2 linked regions of the Oryzias latipes genome follow. The protein of the gene in region 1 interacts with the protein of each later gene in a biochemical or structural test. Links are inferred from orthologs where the notes say so. Each region holds a gene or a part of one and is shown on either strand. Other genes may lie near its edges.

Region 1 (3,500 bases):
CTCAATCTGAGTGACAGTGTGGGCTTTTCTCCTCCATGTAGGTCTGCTGTAAAGTGAACCAGAAGGAAGGAAGGAAGGAAATCCTCTACGCTGGAAGATGAGGACAAACACAAAGCTCAGGAGTGAGGAACTGATTTTCTCCAGGATGACAGAAAGCAGCCACGAGTGAGAGCAGTCATCTTCATCAGCATCTGAGGAAGATGAGCTGAGCACTGATGGGGAGCTTAAGTTCTGCTTCTGCCAGATTAAAGCCAGAGGAAACACAAAGCAGGACTCTGCTGCATGCTACTCCATGAGGAGCACAGACAGAGGGAATGCTGGGTAGAAACTTAGCACCACATGGAGCGACGCACAGCAGAGCTACAACCACCACAGCAACCCAAAAAGGCTCCACCCGATCACCAGGAGGCCCACTGGTCCACAGGTACCTGTGACGACGATCTTGGGGACGTCCAGAATGGTTCCGTGGGACGCCGTTTTACGGTGGCCTCGCCTAAACTGTGTGGCTGCTGCAAAAACACACACACACGTACAGCTGCCAGCATGCAGACGGACGGGCGGGGTCGCCGCAGACATGCAGAGCGCAGACACATGCAGCCTGTGCGACACAAAAGCAGCCCCCCTGCTTCTGCGCTGGTTAGATCCAAGGGTCAGGGTGGGGCACAGGAGGCTACAACAACAACCTGAATCCAGAGCAGCACATGGGGGTCACGCTCCCCCTCTGTATTCATACCTGCAGGGGCAAACGCCGCCTTGGGCTCCAGCTCTGACAGATCTGCACTCATCCTCTTGCCGTCACCCAAGCAGAGAGTTCGAGCGGGCAGACTCTCCACGCTGCCCCCCCTGGACAACGGCAAAGACCTCAGAGGATCTACCTGCAGGAAAAGAGGAGAAGCCTCACTTGTCTGACGACCCCCCCTGATCAGGGTTCAAGGACAGGAAGGGAGCAGCACCTTTGGTTTGAAGGCCGGGAACTGAGGCGTGATTTTGATGGTGTCGTTGCTCCCCTGAGAGTCGCTGTGCTCCATGTTGGCGTCACTTTTGTTGCTGGTGTTGGTGTAGTCCAAATATGAAACTGGACAAACAGCAGACAGGGGGGGGTTCCTTCACATCAGAGCCCTCAACTCAGAAAATACTGTAGCAAAGACAGTCAGAAGCTCTGCAGTTCTCCAGGATCCCTCAAAAGACTTCAGTCCTCAAAACCAGGAAGTTAGAAACAGTCTGGAAAGCTTTTTCTAAGAATGAACTTTTTCTTCGCACAACAGAAGAGACCACTTTGAAAAAAACAACAGAATGGTAAATGTTCGGTTTGGTTTTCTAAATGCAGAGATCTCAGAAGGGTTTGCTGTAAATTTCCCAACATTCATTTGTTTTGAATGGACCTTTATTTTTGAAAGACATTTGAAATGATTTATTAATGGATTTTAATTTTTATGTAGCTCTGCAGCAAAAAACAAAACTAGAGTTATGAGCCGTTGTCTAAAGCTGTATCGTTTAGAGTTGCTTATAATTAAAAACAAAAGATTTACTCAAAAGCAAACAAAACAATATTAGATTATGGATTTGAATTGGATCAAATTAAATCATTTTCTAATCTGAGCCCTAAACACTGAATCTAGAGCTCAAAACCGTTTGTTCTGTGTTTGTTCTCGGCACTCCTCAGGGCTCTGCACGTGGACCTGCTTTGCTTGGTACCTGTGCTTGTTGCAGAGTTGATCTGTCCGTCATCGGAGTACAGGTACGGGTACTGCAGAGGAACGTCCGATTCTGGGAAATACTACAATAAATTTAAAAAGAAACAATCGGGTTAAAAGCCTGCAACAAAACTGGACGTTTCATGAGTCATCGTTTCAGATTTGACAACAAAGGTTCATTTCTTGAATTTGAGTTGAGCTGAAAAGAGTAAAAGCTCTGAACACATTTAACCCTTAAAGTAAAAATTTAAAAAAACCTAAAAGTTTTTTTAAAGGTCTGAAAATGTTATTAATGTGTCAGTTTATGACTGAAAAGGGAAAAACTAAAAGAAAAAAATGATGGATTAATGACTGAACCTCAGGTCCTGTCAGCTTCTTTTGTTTCCAAACACAACATCAGTAAAAAACTCCTTTATTTACAGATGGATCACCTTCATTAGATGACTCATGATCTTCACGATCTCCTCCATGGAGGGCCGCTGAGAGGGGTCTTTGGACCAGCAGCGAGTCATCAGGCTCTCTATGGGCTTGGGGAGGTTTTTAATTAACGGAGGTCTGGTCCCTGAATGGAGAAGAGACGTTGAAAATGGCGGCACGTCTTTCATCTGCTCTCCTGGTGGACTTGGCGAGGCCTCTGAAAGACTCACCGTTGTGCACCGCCCACATGATCCGGAAAGCCGGTCCTCCGATCTCGTCGAAGGGTTTTCTGCGGGTGATGACTTCCCAGAGGATGATGCCCCAGCTGAAGACGTCGCACTTCTCGCTGTAATTGCTGCCTGTGAGCGCAGAGGAAACGCCGCTGCTGAGAGGGGAGCTTTGATTTCATCTCTCCTTCAGAGGGAAGGGGGGGCAATATTTGCCTAGGAACAGCCCCTGTGTTGCTTCATTAGCGAGTATCTTATTGCAAAATGAAGGAGCAGATCAGAAAAGATCCTTCAAAGCGGCTGCACTGGGAGCTCCCATGCAAATTAGCAGCTCAGAGTTCACAGAGAGGGCAGCAGCGAGCGGCTTAATTGCACTGGAGGCTTGTAACTTGCCTCCCAAAACAAGATAATGACTAAGCACTAATTCATCTTCCCTCCTTCCCTCCTCTGCAGGAACGCAGCTCCTCGTTTAGCCAGACATTAGGCTCCTGGCTGAATTAGAACACAAAGTGTTGTTTCCTTGGGGAAATAAAGGGACCAGCATTAATCCATTCATCTTCTCGCCACGCTCGGTAGACTACCATCAATAAAGAAAAAGAGCGCCGCAGCTGGTGAGGAGTCGCTGATTAATGCGCCTCCGCTGAGACATTAGGACGCAATTAAGGTGAAGGGTGACAAAGCAAAGTCAGGTGCGAGAACGAGGAAAGAACTGAGGGCGGCCCGGGAGAATCCACCCCTCCCACACTTGCCTTCAAACACCTCCGGAGCCATCCACGCCGCGCTGCCTTTGTTGTTGGTCATGTGGGTCTGAATGTCACACGCGGTTCCAAAGTCACAGATCTTCAGCACGGTGCCTCCAGCCACCAGGAGCAGACTGCAAGCAGGGACCAACAGAGGCTGTGAGGAAGACGGCGGAACACGTGCTAACAGATGATAAATGCTCATCTGCAGAACCGTTGTGATAACTGAGGAAAAATGTTCGTCTGAGCAGAAGGTTCTACATCGTCAGCGTGAAATGAGCCAATGCTTCCAGAGGAACATCGTTTCATGCACACGTTGTGGTGGCCGAAACCAAAAAATGCAACAACTCTTGCACGAAAAGAAGAAGAAGTAGTGTTGTAAAGCTTAAGTTACAAAAATCAAAGGCCAACAACGACTGAGT
Region 2 (4,157 bases), on another chromosome or scaffold:
TTTTGCAGATGTTTGTATGCAAAGTGACTTAGAAATGAGGAACATGACGAGAGTAAAACTGACAGTCACTCATTTTAGGTTAAAAGTGCTTTAAAGAAAAATCTTAGGTACAAGAAATGTCGAGGAGTGGGTAGTTTTTTTTTTAATCTGTAAGAGGAGAACAGTCTTTGGCATGTACTTTAAAATTGTGCAACGGATAGAGAGTTGCATATCTCATTCGAGCTAAAGAATTAAGCTGCTGATCTTTTGTTGGGTGGTGCCAGGAACACCAGTTGTTGGGAAAGGTTGTGGGCGAGTGTCAGGGTTTAAAACACAAACAGGGCAGCCACAGTAAGCCAAAACAGAGTCAGAACATTGTCACTCACTCGGTGTACCCGAATTTGGTCAATTAAGTTTATAAATTCATGGCTCAGGTGCACCTAGAAGACATACAAACTAAGGTTTTTTACATCCCTGCTGACATCAAGAGGCCTTGTTCGCTCTACGCTTCCTTCAGAATACACAGATTTCAAGTATTAAGCAAAACTTTGGTAAAAAGTTTGACCTTCTTTAATTGCTCAGTTCAGTTCAAAGCACATATTGTCTCATGCTGCACAAAAATGGTTAGTATTTAAACAGAAGCGAGCTGCTAAAAAAACCCCACATATATTTATGTACTCTTTGTGAACTTTTTCTACTGGATCATAATGCAGTAAAGTCATGTTTATGTTCCTGTTAACAGCAGCAGGAAGAAAAAAAAGATGATATCTCACCACAGTCGACCTAAAAAATAAAAAGTGAAAACACTGTTTATGCCCTGAGTTGTTTGAAGAAGTACATTAGCTGCACAGAGCGTCTTTGTTTTAAAAGAAAGTCATTTGACCTCCTATATGAGCTTCTCTCAAAAGTAAAAAATATGTTCACATTTTGGGAAAATTCTAGTTTCTCTTTATATTCGTGTATATATCCATGACAAAAATGAAACAAAAATCATGTTATAAAAGTAGAAAGGACATGAAATTTCTCTTTTAATTAATTTTAATTTTTATGTCATGGAGTATTTATCCTATCAAACCTTTTCCAAGTCCTGGTAACTTTTATTACAGTTGTTTTTTTCTTCTACTTGGCACAGCAGAGAGCATCAAAAAACAGAGCATTAAAAAAACAAAAAGACACTGGAGCAGAAAAAAGATCAGAAAAATATAGCAAACAGTCAATTTGACTGCTATGGCCATTTGATCTTTATCTTTTGTGTGTTTTTTTTTAAATGACGTTAGAATAAAACATACACACAGTTTCAAAAAGTCAGGGTCTCATTAATCCATACGTTAGCAGGATTTGATGTAGCAAATTTTAAAAGCAGTTGAAACTCTCTTTAATGGTTGCTGGTTTACTATTTAAGTGGGCTGTTAGAGCTGCTACTGAGTGGAACTTCACCCCCATGACTATTAGAAATCAAATCACATATAAATCATTTAAGACACAGTTAAAGAAATGGCTCATTGACAATCAGAGCTGTCAACACTACGTACACTTCCTATCACTGATTACCCGCTACTATCTTGTCTTGTGTGTGTGTATATGTTTATGCATTTGTCCGATTTGGATTGTTTTATTGCCAATTTAATTTTAGGTTAACTACTAATTTTACTGAATGTATGGTTTAATATATGTATGTAATGTTATGTAAATATGTAATTTTATTTTGATCTTGTAAGGTGATTTTAACATCTACCCAGATAAAAAATTGAATGAATATTGACAGAAATAATTATTAATATGCGCTGTCCCTGTATCGAATAAATAAATAAAATCTAAAATTAAAAAAAACTCTTGAAAAATAAAGGAACTTTAAACCAAAGCAAAAAAATATATATTTAAACACTTTATTGTAATATTTTAATAAACAGTTGTAAAAATGCAAATACCTAAAGCCTGCCTACCCAATCAAGTCTTGTTCATTTGTGTTATCCTAAAAATGCTCACCTGCTGAGACGGGGTGTAAACAGGTAGCAGCACTTCATTAGCATCTGCAGAGGAGAAGTGTCCAGACTCCACAAGAGCTTCCACCGCATCATGAACGGAGCCCTGCAGTTTCCAGACCAGACTAGGTCTTCGTTTCAGGACCGTCTCCGTCCATGTCCTCTGAGTGACTTCTAGTTCATCCAAAGTGGATGAGTGTTCTAAGAAGCAAAGACCAGCCCCCTGCTCTTTTGGCAGAATCTGTTTGAGAGCAGCGAGGAAGAGCTCACAGGTGTCTGCACCCTTTGTGTAAACCAGGTCAAGCAGGTTTCTGGCATTGCTGTTCAGTGGTCTTCCTGTAACCTGTACGTTCTGGTAGTCCTCCCATGTGATCTCTTCCTGAGCCAGCAGTATATCCAAAATGCTTTCCAGATGTTCAGCTGACCCACCACTGCAGAGAGCACGCAGAATCTCTGTACGCTGCTTCAGCAAACGCTCCATGGCAGACGGGCTTTTTTCGCATCAGCTTCCATGCTCCAAGATTCCATCTTGGACTTGTGCTGCTCGCAACGCCCCAGCCTGCCAAACACAGATGTGATCATTCATGGCAAGAATCCACGAGTTTTACAATTCTCGCTTTACAAGTTTGCATTGGACGCCATAGGTAGACAAAACACAGCTCTTTAGTGATCTCTGTATGGCGTCCATCCACATGAGTCACATTCTGTCAAAACCTGAAGATATACTTGAAAACCTGCTATTAAAATATGATCTCTCACTACGAAATGTCAGCAATCGGGGCTCCTTCTCTCATTTGGGCGTCCTGAAACATTTGTTGGTGAGCCTCTGTCTGTCCTCTTCCTCATTCCACAACTGAAAGTGAAACTGGTTTTGCACAACTTTAATCAAAAGTAAATGTTGGTTAAAAAAAATAAAAACAGTTTGTCTGAAGTACTTCCCTGTTGGGGCGGATTTTGCAGCATAGATTTTCTGCTTAGTTCTATCACATGTAAACATATTTCTATAGCAGAAATGTGAAGGTTTCTTTATATTTTAAAAAAACTTTAAAGACAATGCTCATTTCTCCCTTTCTTTTATGTAAAAGCTGTGCTGTGTGGAACATGATCAAGTAGAGAGAAAGGTTTCAGAGACGAGGGTTGCAGTTTGATGCTGCGCCCACTTGATGGAACTGTTGCGTAATAAAAAAATCTAGCTGGTTTGTAGAGAAACCTGTGACTGGTTGACATTGGGGTTGACATATTTCTGAATTTCTGCAGCTATGTAGTTTTTTTTGTGCCTTTTTTATTTTAGAACCCAAACAAACTGTATGTGAAAAAAGGTGAATAGAAATGTAGTAAAATCAAAAGATGAGATACATAAATCATATTTTGCAATGCTTTTTCAATTTCTTTTTCAATTTCTTTCAAGTGGCTGGGATAGGCTCTGGCAGCCTTGTGACCCCGAAAGGGAACTAACGGAAGAAGATGAATGCTTTTTAAATTTTTTTTTTTTTTTGCTCCGTCCTGACCATGTGATTGTTTCGTTATCAGGCCTCTCTGTTCTGAAGGGAAACATAAATGAGCAGAAGAAATCAAAGATAGCTTCTTTTCAGCTCCTCACCAAGAAACAGGCAGCTCCCCCTTGGGGAGTGTAATGCAGAGTACTACCTGTAAGGCATCCTGTGTGAAACCTAAAGGGGGGATACTGTCATCTAAATAACAGACAGGAGTCCAGAGCAGCTTGAGAGACTTTAAAAATAAGGTATAAAGTCACTCGTGCGTCAATTTATTCAATTCAATTCAATTTTATTTGTATGGCCCAAATTCACAACAACAGTCGTCTCAATGGGCTTTGTATCGGGAATTGAAAAAGTGAAGCATGAACTCAAAAGGATCATGAATACATAGAGTTCATTAGGAAAAATACTAAAAGGAACTAACAAACTGACTAAGCTATACTGGCATCCCTGCCCTTAGACCCCCCTTCCTGGTAAGGAAAAACTCCTAAAAAACCGGATTCCGGAAAAAACGAAAACGATCATTTTAATGTTATATGCGTGCCGTATACATAATATAAAAGTTATACATCGGTGATACATGTGGGAAAAGTCTGTTGGACATACATGGAAAGCCACAAATCTGCGTGTGCATCGTGTAAAAATCATGCACAGATTTACTTATTGATTGCGTATAAACTACGTAAAATACACATAAACT

Evidence for each region. The genes of interacting proteins can lie anywhere in the genome.
Region 2: the proteins of map3k7 (region 1) and nod2 form a complex in vitro, tested with the Homo sapiens proteins (2 studies listed by BioGRID). The link is inferred for Oryzias latipes from reciprocal best matches to the Homo sapiens genes MAP3K7 and NOD2.

The regions. Positions count from the first base shown.
Region 1 is NC_019882.2:20,581,833-20,585,332, forward strand, and holds part of map3k7 (mitogen-activated protein kinase kinase kinase 7), read right to left. Parts: intron 3,213-3,500; coding exon 3,088-3,212; intron 2,471-3,087; coding exon 2,342-2,470; intron 2,257-2,341; coding exon 2,126-2,256; intron 1,778-2,125; coding exon 1,696-1,777; intron 1,076-1,695; coding exon 954-1,075; intron 876-953; coding exon 734-875; intron 510-733; coding exon 429-509; intron 1-428. UniProt on the Homo sapiens protein: Serine/threonine kinase which acts as an essential component of the MAP kinase signal transduction pathway. Plays an important role in the cascades of cellular responses evoked by changes in the environment.
Region 2 is NC_019861.2:30,238,001-30,242,157, forward strand, and holds the start of nod2 (nucleotide-binding oligomerization domain-containing protein 2), read right to left. Parts: upstream 2,801-4,157; 5' UTR 2,721-2,800; exon of another isoform or gene 2,521-2,720; 5' UTR 2,443-2,520; coding exon 1,966-2,442; intron 1-1,965. UniProt on the Homo sapiens protein: Pattern recognition receptor (PRR) that detects bacterial peptidoglycan fragments and other danger signals and plays an important role in gastrointestinal immunity.